Oryzias latipes: one gene and its partners. Each later gene encodes a partner of the first gene's protein in a complex. Links are inferred from orthologs where the notes say so. Each region holds a gene or a part of one and is shown in the gene's direction. Other genes may lie near its edges.

Region 1 (3,247 bases):
AAATAATTTATTTCTAGAGTATGATGAGTCTTTAAACTCTGTCATGTCTTACTGTGCTTTATCTCTTTTCTAGACATGTTTACATTGTTTTTTTTGTACAAGCACTGTGTTATCTTTTTGTTTTTCACTTCTTTCTTTGCACTTCCACCTCTGCTCTCTTTAGTCTTTAAAGGCGAGTCTTCTTTTTCTTCCATGATCATTTTTCTTTAAATGCCCATTAAGTTCCAGCTGTTGTTGGCGGCGTTCTATATTTAAATGATTTCCGTTTTTGTGTAGGCCCAACAGTTTGTGTCGGTGCTTTTGCCACTGCCTGCTCAGGAGGAGCAGTTTGAGACATACATCGGATGCGCCTTTGCTCTCAAGGTAAAACCCTGAACTTTGCACAGGCTAAAATGAAACCTATTGTTATTTAAAACCCACTTTGTAAATGTAAACCACTACATTTAAAATATATTATTTCTGTATCCAGGCTGTCCAGTTTCTCAATAAACTGATTCTGCAAGTCACCGTTGATGTATTTCTCATTGACTGGGAGAGGCCACGAAGTAAAGCTAGCAGAACAGTGCCAGGTACAACCTGCTTTTGGGACACATTCATCTTTGCTGCTGTTTGTCCTTTTAAAATATTTTTTGCTGTTTCAGCTACTAAGGAAACAAAACAGGAACCCTCTCCAGTCAGCATCTGGAGGACTTACTTTGTGGCCAATGAGTGGAATGAGCTCCAGACCGTCCGAAAGATCAGCCCAACGTTTCAAATAATGGCCGTGCTTTTCTTTCTTGAGGTACAAAAACACAAGAGCACACATCCACTCCGTCTTTCTAGCTTTTGACAAACTGTCATGTGTTGTTCAGGTGCTGGGCTTCTCCAATCTGGCCCTGAGAGACCCCTGGTCAACATTAGAGCGTTCCCCAGCAGCCTACACCCCTCCTTACAGTCTGATTCTTCGCTATGGTCTCGCTGCCACACTTTGGATATGTATTGGGCTATTGCAGGTAAATGGCCATAAAATCTCCTCCATTTATTCTTTCACATGATCTTGTGTCTACTAATATTTAGCAGACATGCATCCTGTCACAGAAGCCCTTTTGTTCCCACAGGTGATTTTCTTCACCGTCTTTTATGAGCACTTCGTGGAGGATAAAATCCGTCAGTTTGTGGATCTCTGCTCCGTCAGCAACGTAAGTAACACTGCATGATGTGCTGTTAATCAAAACCTCTGTAACACTTCAAAGAAATGGGTTTTAACTCCCTCTGTGCAGATTTCAGTGCTGCTTTTCTCTCATCGCTGTTTTGGCTACTACATTCATGGCCGGTCAGTGCACGGGCATGCAGACACAAACATGGAGGAAATGAACAACAATCTGAAGAGAGAGCGTGTATGGCTACCAAATCTCTGCTTTTCCAATTAGAGTTACATTTTATTTGTGATCTTATTGCATAAACCTAACATTATGAATGTGTTCTTCCCTCATGCCTTTTTTTTTCCATTATAAGGAATCTCTGTGTGGCCAGAGAGGTCTCCTTTCCAACACAGACATTCAGACCTTTCAGGTCTCGTTTACAAACCGTTTGAGGCTGCAGTATGACAGGATACAGGATTCACTCAGCAGGGTTTGTACTCAGCTCTTTTATGTCTGTATGTCCCTGAAAAATAAAACTTCTCTTTTGTTCAAATGGTTGTGTTCTGTTCTCCAGAGGAACAGACCATCTCGGTTGATAGATGCGTCTGCAGCTAACTTGTCAGAGCTACAGTTCAAAGCCTACAACACCATGAACCACTTCCTGGCATCTGTTATAGACCATGTTAGTATGAATATGTTGTGAGACATTCGGAAAACAACATAGTTTTGTTGAATCAATTGTTGATGAATTTGTTACTACGATATAATTTGTGCTTTATAAATTGTTGTTATATTGTTTACCTTAGGCGCACCCTGAGATGGACTACATAGTCAAGGATAAACTGACGTTGGAGAGAGTCATAGGGATGGAGTTTCTTGAACCCATTGACAAAAGCATATTTTACAATGGTAACAGCCTTGTCGATCTTAATATTTAATATCCCTTTTATTGTTTTGGTATATGAAAGATGTACCTTTGTCATTTTTTCCCAATAGATGAAAGACACTCGTTCAGTGACGTGCTTTTTTATGGAAACGAGGCCACACTGCTGATCTTTGACACTTTGTTCTTCTGTGTTGTCGACCTGGGATCCCAAAACTTTGTTCTAGCAGCTGTTCTTACTTACTTACAGCAAGCGGCAAGTATTCTAATTATCTCAGTGTGTTGTTTTCATTGTGGTGAAATGCACTGTGGCTATCATTAATATTGTTCTGTGTTTTGCAGATGTTTCGCTTCATCCGAAACACACTTGGAAGGAGGAACCTTGTCAATAAAACACTGGTGGATCAGAGATTTTTGATATAAAAATGTTGTTGAAGGTCCTTAATTTTTTTTAAAGTTGATCATTTTCAGTTTCGCCTTTTCAAAATCATTTGTACAATGCTTTTTACTGCTGGTTTATAATGTTGTATTTTTTTTGACATATTTCTACACTTTTTTTTAATTAAAAGGTTTTCATATGAAGGCAAAGTTGTGTTGAGTTTTGATTTAAAATCAAGGCCAACATCTGATTTGTATTACTGATACCACTTAATCTGAATGTTAAGATAAATGTACATTATCCATTTCAATACAGTACTGTGATTGACTAATATTTCAAATGAATTAAAACAATGCCGTAGTTATATCATAGATAATGCATGGTATATTTTGTGATATCAGCCTAAAATAGGTTTGTTTATTTGTTAAGCAATCACTTAAAGGTGTACTCTTGGACTCCGCCTCAGTGAATGATATATATTTTTGCCAGAATCAAATTATCTGTGCTTTTTATACTATTAAATGAAAATCTTAGTTAATAGTGATAGAAAATGAGAACATGGTGATACTCACAAGAAACCAAGTATTAATGCAGCACACAGTCATTTATTTTATTTTTAAGCTTAATGGGTGTCTTAACTGTCCGCACTACTAAAAAAGAGAAGTATTCATAGTATTCAATCAGTTATAATGATAAAAAATTTTTGTTCTTTTTTATGTTTGTTTTTCATGTCGCAAAGAACAATGTCCATGGAATAATTTGGAGAAAAGAACCTATTTCAGGGACCATGCAACTTGTGCGTGAGTTCTTTAAACGCCCCATGCGTGGCGTCATAGCGTACGTCAGGTCTCGGCCAATCAGCGC
Region 2 (3,655 bases), on another chromosome or scaffold:
CGACTGTTGTTGTGATTTTGGACTATACAAAGAAAATTGAATTGAATTGAATTGAATTGAAACCCAGGTTCAAATCCGGGCTGCTCCCTGTTCCCTTCTCTACCTCTGTGCCGGTCCCAAGCCCGGTTGCTTTGAGAGGCTTGCGTCAGGAAGGGCATCCGGCGTAAAACATTGCCAAGTTTACCATGCGGCTCGTTCGCTGTGGCGACCCCTGATGGGAAAAGCCGAAAGAGAAACAACTTGCATGTAAGAGACTAAACCACTTTTTTGAGTGGAAGTTGTTAAACCCTCAACAAACTCTCCGTCTACAGGAAGATGTGGCTTTCTTCAGCTATCCCTTCACTTTTGAGGCTCTTTATATGAAGCAAAAAGACGGTGAAGGTTAGTATCAGCTGTTAAGTATTATAGCATAGTTTATGTTTTATGAATCCAGGTTTTATCTTACTTTAGAAGGCATTCCTCAGTGGCCAGTGATTTACTTCAAGGTTCTTTCCTTGGACTTCTGGCAGCGCTATCGAACGGAAGGCTATGGTTATCTGCTTTTTCCTGCCACGCCCGGTACGATGTATTTCCTGAAATCTCATTTAAATTCAGTTTATTTTGTTACTGTTCACATTTAATCAAGGGATTTCTAAATGGTTAGTGTTTCTACATCTTGTTTGTGTTTGTATACCAGGTAAACATACCATGACATGTCACACATGGAGGCCTGTTCAGACAGGGACTGTGTCTGCAATGAAGCGCTTCTTTATTGGAGGTTCTGCTGAGCTTGAAGATGACAGTTATGTCAGAACTCCAGGAACATTCAAGGTGAATCAAAGCTGGCTCAAACAAAGTTTTAGACAATTGATGTTGATTTTTATCAGGTATAAAGTTAAATAAATATGTTGTGATTTTATCGATACATACTCCTTGGGCAGCTGGGTTTCAATTGTCAGTTGAAATTGAGTCAATCCTAACTTCAATAAAATTATTGATTCTTCCATTTCTGAAATACATTTTTGTGAATATTATTTGTCAAAGCAAAAATTAAACGTTTTCTTTTTTTAAATCACTATTTAAGTAATCCAAAAAATTGGACTTAGGATAGAAATCTGAAAACAAATTGATGATTATTTTAATTTTTGCTGCTATATATTGAATTAAATTGTACACTTTTGAATAAAAAAATCAATAATTTGCATTTACTGTGACATTCTGGTGGAAACCATTTAACGGAGTGCAAATATCAGAATAACCAACAGACTTTGAAAAAAATGATTTCTTTGGGTTTTTGATAAACAGGGACTTGCTTTTGATACATGATTGAAACAAAGGTGTTTTAGTATTTACAGTATGTGTATGTTTTTTGTTGTTATTCTCTAACATTTTTGTATCAGGGGGACAGGCTGAGTCGCTTTGGTTTCTGCACTGTAACCACAGGAAGCGTCACTTTTAACCTGCACTGCATCCAGCAAGCCAGGTGAGTGTCAGGTAAGCGTCAAACAGGTCTCAGTCTGCCAGCAACATAACTACAGTGGTCTTTTGTGTCCGTGTGTACATTTCAGGGCATTTGTGGATGCTGCTGTTCTGAAAAGGAGGAGACAGAAGGTTTTTGAGCATTTGGGAGGATTTAGTCAACAAGGAGCTGTTTGCAACATTCTGGGTAAAAAAAAACAAAAAATCCATTTGACTTCCAAGCCTCTTTGCACTGAAATTCTGGAGGTCTGAACTTTATTTAGGGATCAACATTTGTTGGGCTATTGGGATGCAATTAGGATTTAAAATGTGCTGTATTTAAATGTTAATAATAGTTTCATTTAACACGTTTCATGTTTTTCTCTGTCAGAGGCTTTTCAGAGAGCGAGGAAAAAGATGCAGGAGGCCAGAGAAAGTTTTCCGAGAGGCGTAATAAACACTGGTTCCCAACTCCAACAGGAATCCTCAGCATGAGACTGAAAACCAAACTTTCAGTGGGACTGAGTGGAAGAAGATCCTGGCACAGACTCAGAATTTTGCAAAGATGACTCTCTAGTGACCGGTCCAGTGAGCATCTGTGGAACATTTCATGTTTTAAGGATTAATAAGTCACTTTGTCAGGTTGTAATGATGCAAAACATACATCAATCCACCAAAATGTGGAAAAAGTGACCACACCTGCCTTAGAAACTACAGGCAAATTTCACAGCAGTTTTTAATGGCTAAGGAACTTGTTGAAAATCCACTCGGGAGTTTTTTTTTGTTGCAATTAACTCTTTTACAAGTTCTAAGCTGCTTTTCACCTCCTGCCCTCTACAGAAGCTGCTGCGCTCATGTTCTGCCAGTACCTACTGATGTACGCAGATACGAGAAATGTTCTGGTGCTGTTTAAATCTACTAAAGCTTACTTTTTACTGTCAGAAATAGCCTAGTGATTAACAGAATGAAGCTGAATTAGCCACTAACCAGGAAAGCCTTTGTGTCGTTTCCCTACATCAACGGGTCTATTTGGGGCAAAACAGAGACTCTTGCTTCATGTCCCTCAAAAGGATCTTCTCAGAGCTAATCTCAATTTACCTGACCCTCTGCTGCTTTACTTTAACCTGGTTCCATGAAGCACCATACCAACTTTCAGTTAAAGACATTTAGCTTTTTTCTCATTTAAACTCAGTTAAATTATTATTGATCTGCCCCTTAACAGTACAAAACTATTGTTACAGTCTACTGTAAAAATAGAAATTGAAATCCTCCTGAAACATCTTTTTCACAAATCAAGCAATCTCTATAGTCTTCTCCTTCTTTTTAGAGCCGGTCTTAAGGATCTCGTCATTCTCATTTGATCAGCCTATGCACAATTTATGCATCTGTTCTTTTGCTATACTTGATACAGGGATGAATGGTGCTTGGTTCAGAATAGGATTTTAAAAACGATGCCAGTTTGGCTAAAAGAGATCATGTTCTCAGGATTACTGTCAGGAAAAAAAAATCAGCTGATTTTAATTTGTTGGGGTAGTTTTTGCATTTTATTGCATATAATTCTACAAATAAATGTTTTTGCTACAAAATATTTGAAGTTTCATTGTTGTTATACATTTGTTATTTTAATTAAAGCAACATCCTTTTTTTTTTTAAAACAAACCCAACTTTTTATGTCATTTTTATAATTTTGAAGCCACACTGTATATAAGTTACAGGTGAAAAATAAAGTATTGGTTTCATGGATTGTGGTAGTTGACCCTAATGGGCTTTTGATAAAGCTTAATTGATTTCTTTGCTGTTTGTATGCTGTTTCTCAGTGAATATCAAATGAAAAAAAAATAGATTTTTATCTTTTGTGAAGCGTCATTTAGTTAAGAAACTAATGCATTTTATTTTTAGAGAACGTGTTCTTTGATTTTATGAGGATTTACAACACTGACCTAGGTTAGAAAGGCTTTTATGTGCTTGCAATTTAATCTTTAACTATGTAAAAAAGATTGTAATTTGCATTTTTTTCTTTTAAACTATCAATAATATAAACACCTGCAGTCTTGCACGTTTACTTGTTAAAAGTAAGATGCTCTGATAGTTTAAAACAACAAAACAACTAGCAAATAAAAACACCAACATGAACATGGCTTAAAAAATTGTCATTAATTAAGCTTCATTTTTGTTTTAAAATAAACGGTTGGGTCAGAGTTTGTGCTCCAAATCATGA
Region 3 (3,755 bases), on another chromosome or scaffold:
AGAGAGTACATTTATTGATATCAGTTTCTTAACGGCTAAAAGGTGTATTGCACAGGCTTGGAAAAACATGAGCAGACCTAGCATAAATCAGTGGCTAAAACAAATGTTGTATTGCCTTCCTTTGGAAAGAATAATGTATATCCATAAAAGCAAACAACACCTATTTGAGGAAATTTGGGGACCCTTTATTAATTATATTCAAAAATTAGAACTAATAGATGATTCAACAGATTTTTGATCTCAACTGCACAGAATTTTGCAACCACAGTTTAAAAGCTTTTGAAAAGGAGAGCTGTGATGGTATCATGTAAGAGAAGCAATGTTCGTTGTTAAGTTTTGTTTTATGTAATTATTTTTATTTGTTTGAGTGCAGATATTTGTTTTGAGTGAAATGTCATACAATACAGTTTAGTTTTTTTATTTTTATTTTTTTTTTTTTTATTATTTTATTTCCTTTTTGCTTTTTGTCTTTTTATAAGGAAAACGTAACTGGTATTATTGAAGTTGCTGTGTTGTTATGACTAATTCTTTAAATAAAAAGTTGTGGAAAAAAAAAAAAAAAATCAGATTATTTAATGGTGGTGTGTCCCTTCAAGTTCTCGTCAAGACTAAATAAGTCTGTTGTTCTTTAAATTTGCACGTTAAAGAGGTCTTTCGCTTTAAAAAGAGTTATTTTCTTTGTTTGTTTATTGTTTAACCCTTGTGCTATCCTAGGCACTTTAACATTGGGAGTTGGGTCATCTAGACCCACTAGACAGTGCCCTGAACCTTTTTTCTTCAATGATTTGTGATCTTCACTGGTGTCCATGGATTACATGAAATCTTTCCACCTTTATCCACCTTTGTCATGGTAGGGAGAACACGTCAATGGAAGGGGGGGTCATCTAAGATAGCCCAAGGGTTAAAAAAGCCTCATTTCAACTTGTCTTATAAAAGTAAGACTAAACATGTTTTATGAATTATTTCGTTTGTTTATATGACTAAATGTTATATTCAGTCTGATAAATTAGAGATTAAACTTCTACATATTTCCAATTTTTTCAGAATATCACAGAAACAGCACAGTGATCAACAAAATATTGTTTGATTTTTTTTTGTTTTTTTAGGGATAACAGTTAAATGTGTTTCAGGGACCTTGCATTCATGCAACTGACCGGTAGGTGGCAGCCTATACGAACTGAAAGCCCACGAGCAGAAGCGAACAGCCGAAGAAGAGCAACAACCATAGCAACGGTCTATAACAAGTATGGCGGCGTTCGTCTTTTTAGCTTCGGATTTTTTTTTTATTTTCCTTTTGATTGTTACTGTAAATTCTAACGAAAATTCGACGAGCAGTTATTTTAACTCGACTGCGTGGGATGACCTAAACTTCACATCTGGAACGACGTTTGTTGCATCCACGGAGTCGACGGTGTTGAGCTCAACAACCCGGACCTCCAGCGGTACGGAGCCGCCGCCTCTGCCCGCCGAGCCCCTGCCTGTCTCCGGCCGCCTCCCCACTCCAGTGACCGCTGGTGCGTGTCCTTGAACGCAACACCGTTTTGTTTTGTTTTTGTCTAAAGTAACTCTATTGACGTTGCAAACAGTCCTTAAATTATTTACTTTAACCGTTTTTAATCTTTTTGAATTGCTTGTTCATTTTCTCAAAAAAACCTGCAAGGACCAGGTTATGCAAATGCTTTTCTGCAACTTTGAGCAAAACTTTCTTTAGTTTTTACAAGCTAAGAATCTCAGCAAAATTTGATGAAAGTGAATTTTTAACATAGTGAACAACATATTTCACACATACATCACCAGGTTAAGTCTAAAACCACAACTTTCATTGACCTTTGACCTTGCAAAGAAGCCCCCATCTTGAATTTTTCTTAAAACAGTTCTCTAGTTCACATTTAAACGCTTGGCTTCTACGTCCATGACCCCGTCGGGAAGCTACTTGGGGAAAAAAATCATTGGTTTTAAGGTTTGCAGATTATGAACAGCGTTAGCGTGGTGAGTTTGCAGAAGTGGCGTTTCCCTGTTTTTTACGGGAGCATTGTGAAAATCTAATACATTAATCGTTGGCCCGAGCTAAACAAAATGATATGTCATAACATATGTACATATTAGGAATGAGGGCGTGGTTAGCACATAACCTCCGTTGCCAAGCAAATCTAAAAATTTACTTTTGCCGATCTTTCTAAAAGTTATATAGATGCGTCCGTCACCCCCAGGCGATCAAAAAATTGAATGGTTGCCATGGAGTTAAAACTGACAGAAAAGCCACCAACTTTTTTTTCCCATAAATTTGTCCCGGGCAGCTCTGACCAGGCTTGCAGGGACAATGAGGGCTGTGAAGCAGTGAGGGCCGCTTTCACAACTTCAGTCATTATGTTATTAAAGTTTAAAAAGCAGCTTCATGATCAAAATACCAACATTTAAGGCTTCAAGATTCTGTGCTTGTTGTTGTTTGTAATCCTTTTTTGCTGCTGAAATCAAAAAAGGTGACCATTTCTTATTTGATATTTAAACTTCTCATCGGAGGATAGTTGAACTCTGACCTTCTGACCTCAGCTCTGTGTTTCAGTCGACACGCTGTGTCCCTGTGATGAGCACACGGACGCGTGTGACATCAGCTGCTGCTGTGATGCTGACTGTCAGCAGGAGGTGGCGCTGTTCACCAGCTGCTCAGTCACTGACGTGAGGTGAGTTTCAGCCGGAGGGAATCAATATCCAACACACTACTGCCCACCCATACGTTCAGGGGAACACATGTTTGCTTCTCATGACGTTAGGAATGTCAGCCGTGACCCATCATGCTTTGCCAGTCCACACCGTTATGGTTCCTGTTTGAAGAAGAGAAAAAATCGTTTCTTTTAAACCCACAGCTGTGACTCAAAGATCTGCTTCACCTTTGTTGACATTTTGAATATTTGAATGAAATGAGCTCCTAAGTGCAGATTAAGGAAACTTTCCATTTTTATACATATATAAGATTTTTTTTTTTAAAAGACGGGGAAAATAGGATCATTATGGCTCATTTACCTGTTCACAGGTAAAATCACCTGAGACAGCAGCACAAAGACAGCAGACAAGCTCAAAATTAAAAATAAATACTCCATAGTGCTTCATTTCTGGCTGGATTTCTGTTTTGGGTGTTTTAAGTCAGATTTAATCTCAGTTTTTCATTGTTATTTCTTCACTCACAGTGACAGCAGGCAGCTGTGCAGCCGCGGCGTGGCGAGCTACGCTTTGAGAACACGAATTGACGGTTTTTCCGAGCTTCTCACCTCCATCAAAAAGGAGACAAACTATGACCTTTTCTGCATCCATTCATACAACCGTGAGTCAGAGCTCCTCCTGAAGCTCATGTTTATGTTTTTACACACATTCTGAACAAAATTATCTGTATTTTAAACTTTCATTTAAACAAAAAAAAAATCAATGGATGATTTCTGAAAGTCAAGCCTGCAGGTTTCTGTCACATTTCTACAAATATGTCAGAATGATGTTGACATTTAGTTTGTCTTTTAAAAATTAGGGCTTTATTCGAGAAAAACAATTCCAGAAACAGCCAGTTTTTTAAGTAAAATCTGCTAACAGGAGCTGTAAAAACAGCAGAATTCAATTGTCTTAAATGCCGAAAATTAACTCATTCAAACACATTTTCTTCAGAAGTTTCCATATTGAATTTTTTATTTAATATTTTCACGATATCTGTTTTTTATCTAAGCCTTAGGATTTCAAGAACTTCATCCACTTTCATATTTATTTACCTT

The links.
Region 2: tmem67 (region 1) and mks1 share a complex: the UniProt entries of both Homo sapiens proteins name them as parts of the tectonic-like complex. The link is inferred for Oryzias latipes from reciprocal best matches to the Homo sapiens genes TMEM67 and MKS1.
Region 3: tmem67 (region 1) and tctn1 share a complex: the UniProt entries of both Homo sapiens proteins name them as parts of the tectonic-like complex. The link is inferred for Oryzias latipes from reciprocal best matches to the Homo sapiens genes TMEM67 and TCTN1.

What each region holds. Positions count from the first base shown.
Region 1 is NC_019874.2:17,690,773-17,694,019, forward strand, and holds the end of tmem67 (meckelin), read left to right. Parts: intron 1-163; coding exon 164-172; intron 173-276; coding exon 277-363; intron 364-469; coding exon 470-569; intron 570-641; coding exon 642-781; intron 782-851; coding exon 852-992; intron 993-1,097; coding exon 1,098-1,178; intron 1,179-1,259; coding exon 1,260-1,376; intron 1,377-1,494; coding exon 1,495-1,611; intron 1,612-1,695; coding exon 1,696-1,803; intron 1,804-1,927; coding exon 1,928-2,030; intron 2,031-2,117; coding exon 2,118-2,260; intron 2,261-2,346; coding exon 2,347-2,427; 3' UTR 2,428-2,592; downstream 2,593-3,247. UniProt on the Homo sapiens protein: Required for ciliary structure and function. Part of the tectonic-like complex which is required for tissue-specific ciliogenesis and may regulate ciliary membrane composition.
Region 2 is NC_019872.2:25,021,628-25,025,282, forward strand, and holds the end of mks1 (Meckel syndrome type 1 protein), read left to right. Parts: intron 1-311; coding exon 312-381; intron 382-450; coding exon 451-558; intron 559-676; coding exon 677-810; intron 811-1,379; coding exon 1,380-1,462; intron 1,463-1,547; coding exon 1,548-1,645; intron 1,646-1,828; coding exon 1,829-1,932; 3' UTR 1,933-3,178; downstream 3,179-3,655. UniProt on the Homo sapiens protein: Component of the tectonic-like complex, a complex localized at the transition zone of primary cilia and acting as a barrier that prevents diffusion of transmembrane proteins between the cilia and plasma membranes.
Region 3 is NC_019868.2:27,625,266-27,629,020, forward strand, and holds the start of tctn1 (tectonic-1), read left to right. Parts: upstream 1-1,163; 5' UTR 1,164-1,246; coding exon 1,247-1,514; intron 1,515-2,563; coding exon 2,564-2,681; intron 2,682-3,185; coding exon 3,186-3,319; intron 3,320-3,755. UniProt on the Homo sapiens protein: Component of the tectonic-like complex, a complex localized at the transition zone of primary cilia and acting as a barrier that prevents diffusion of transmembrane proteins between the cilia and plasma membranes.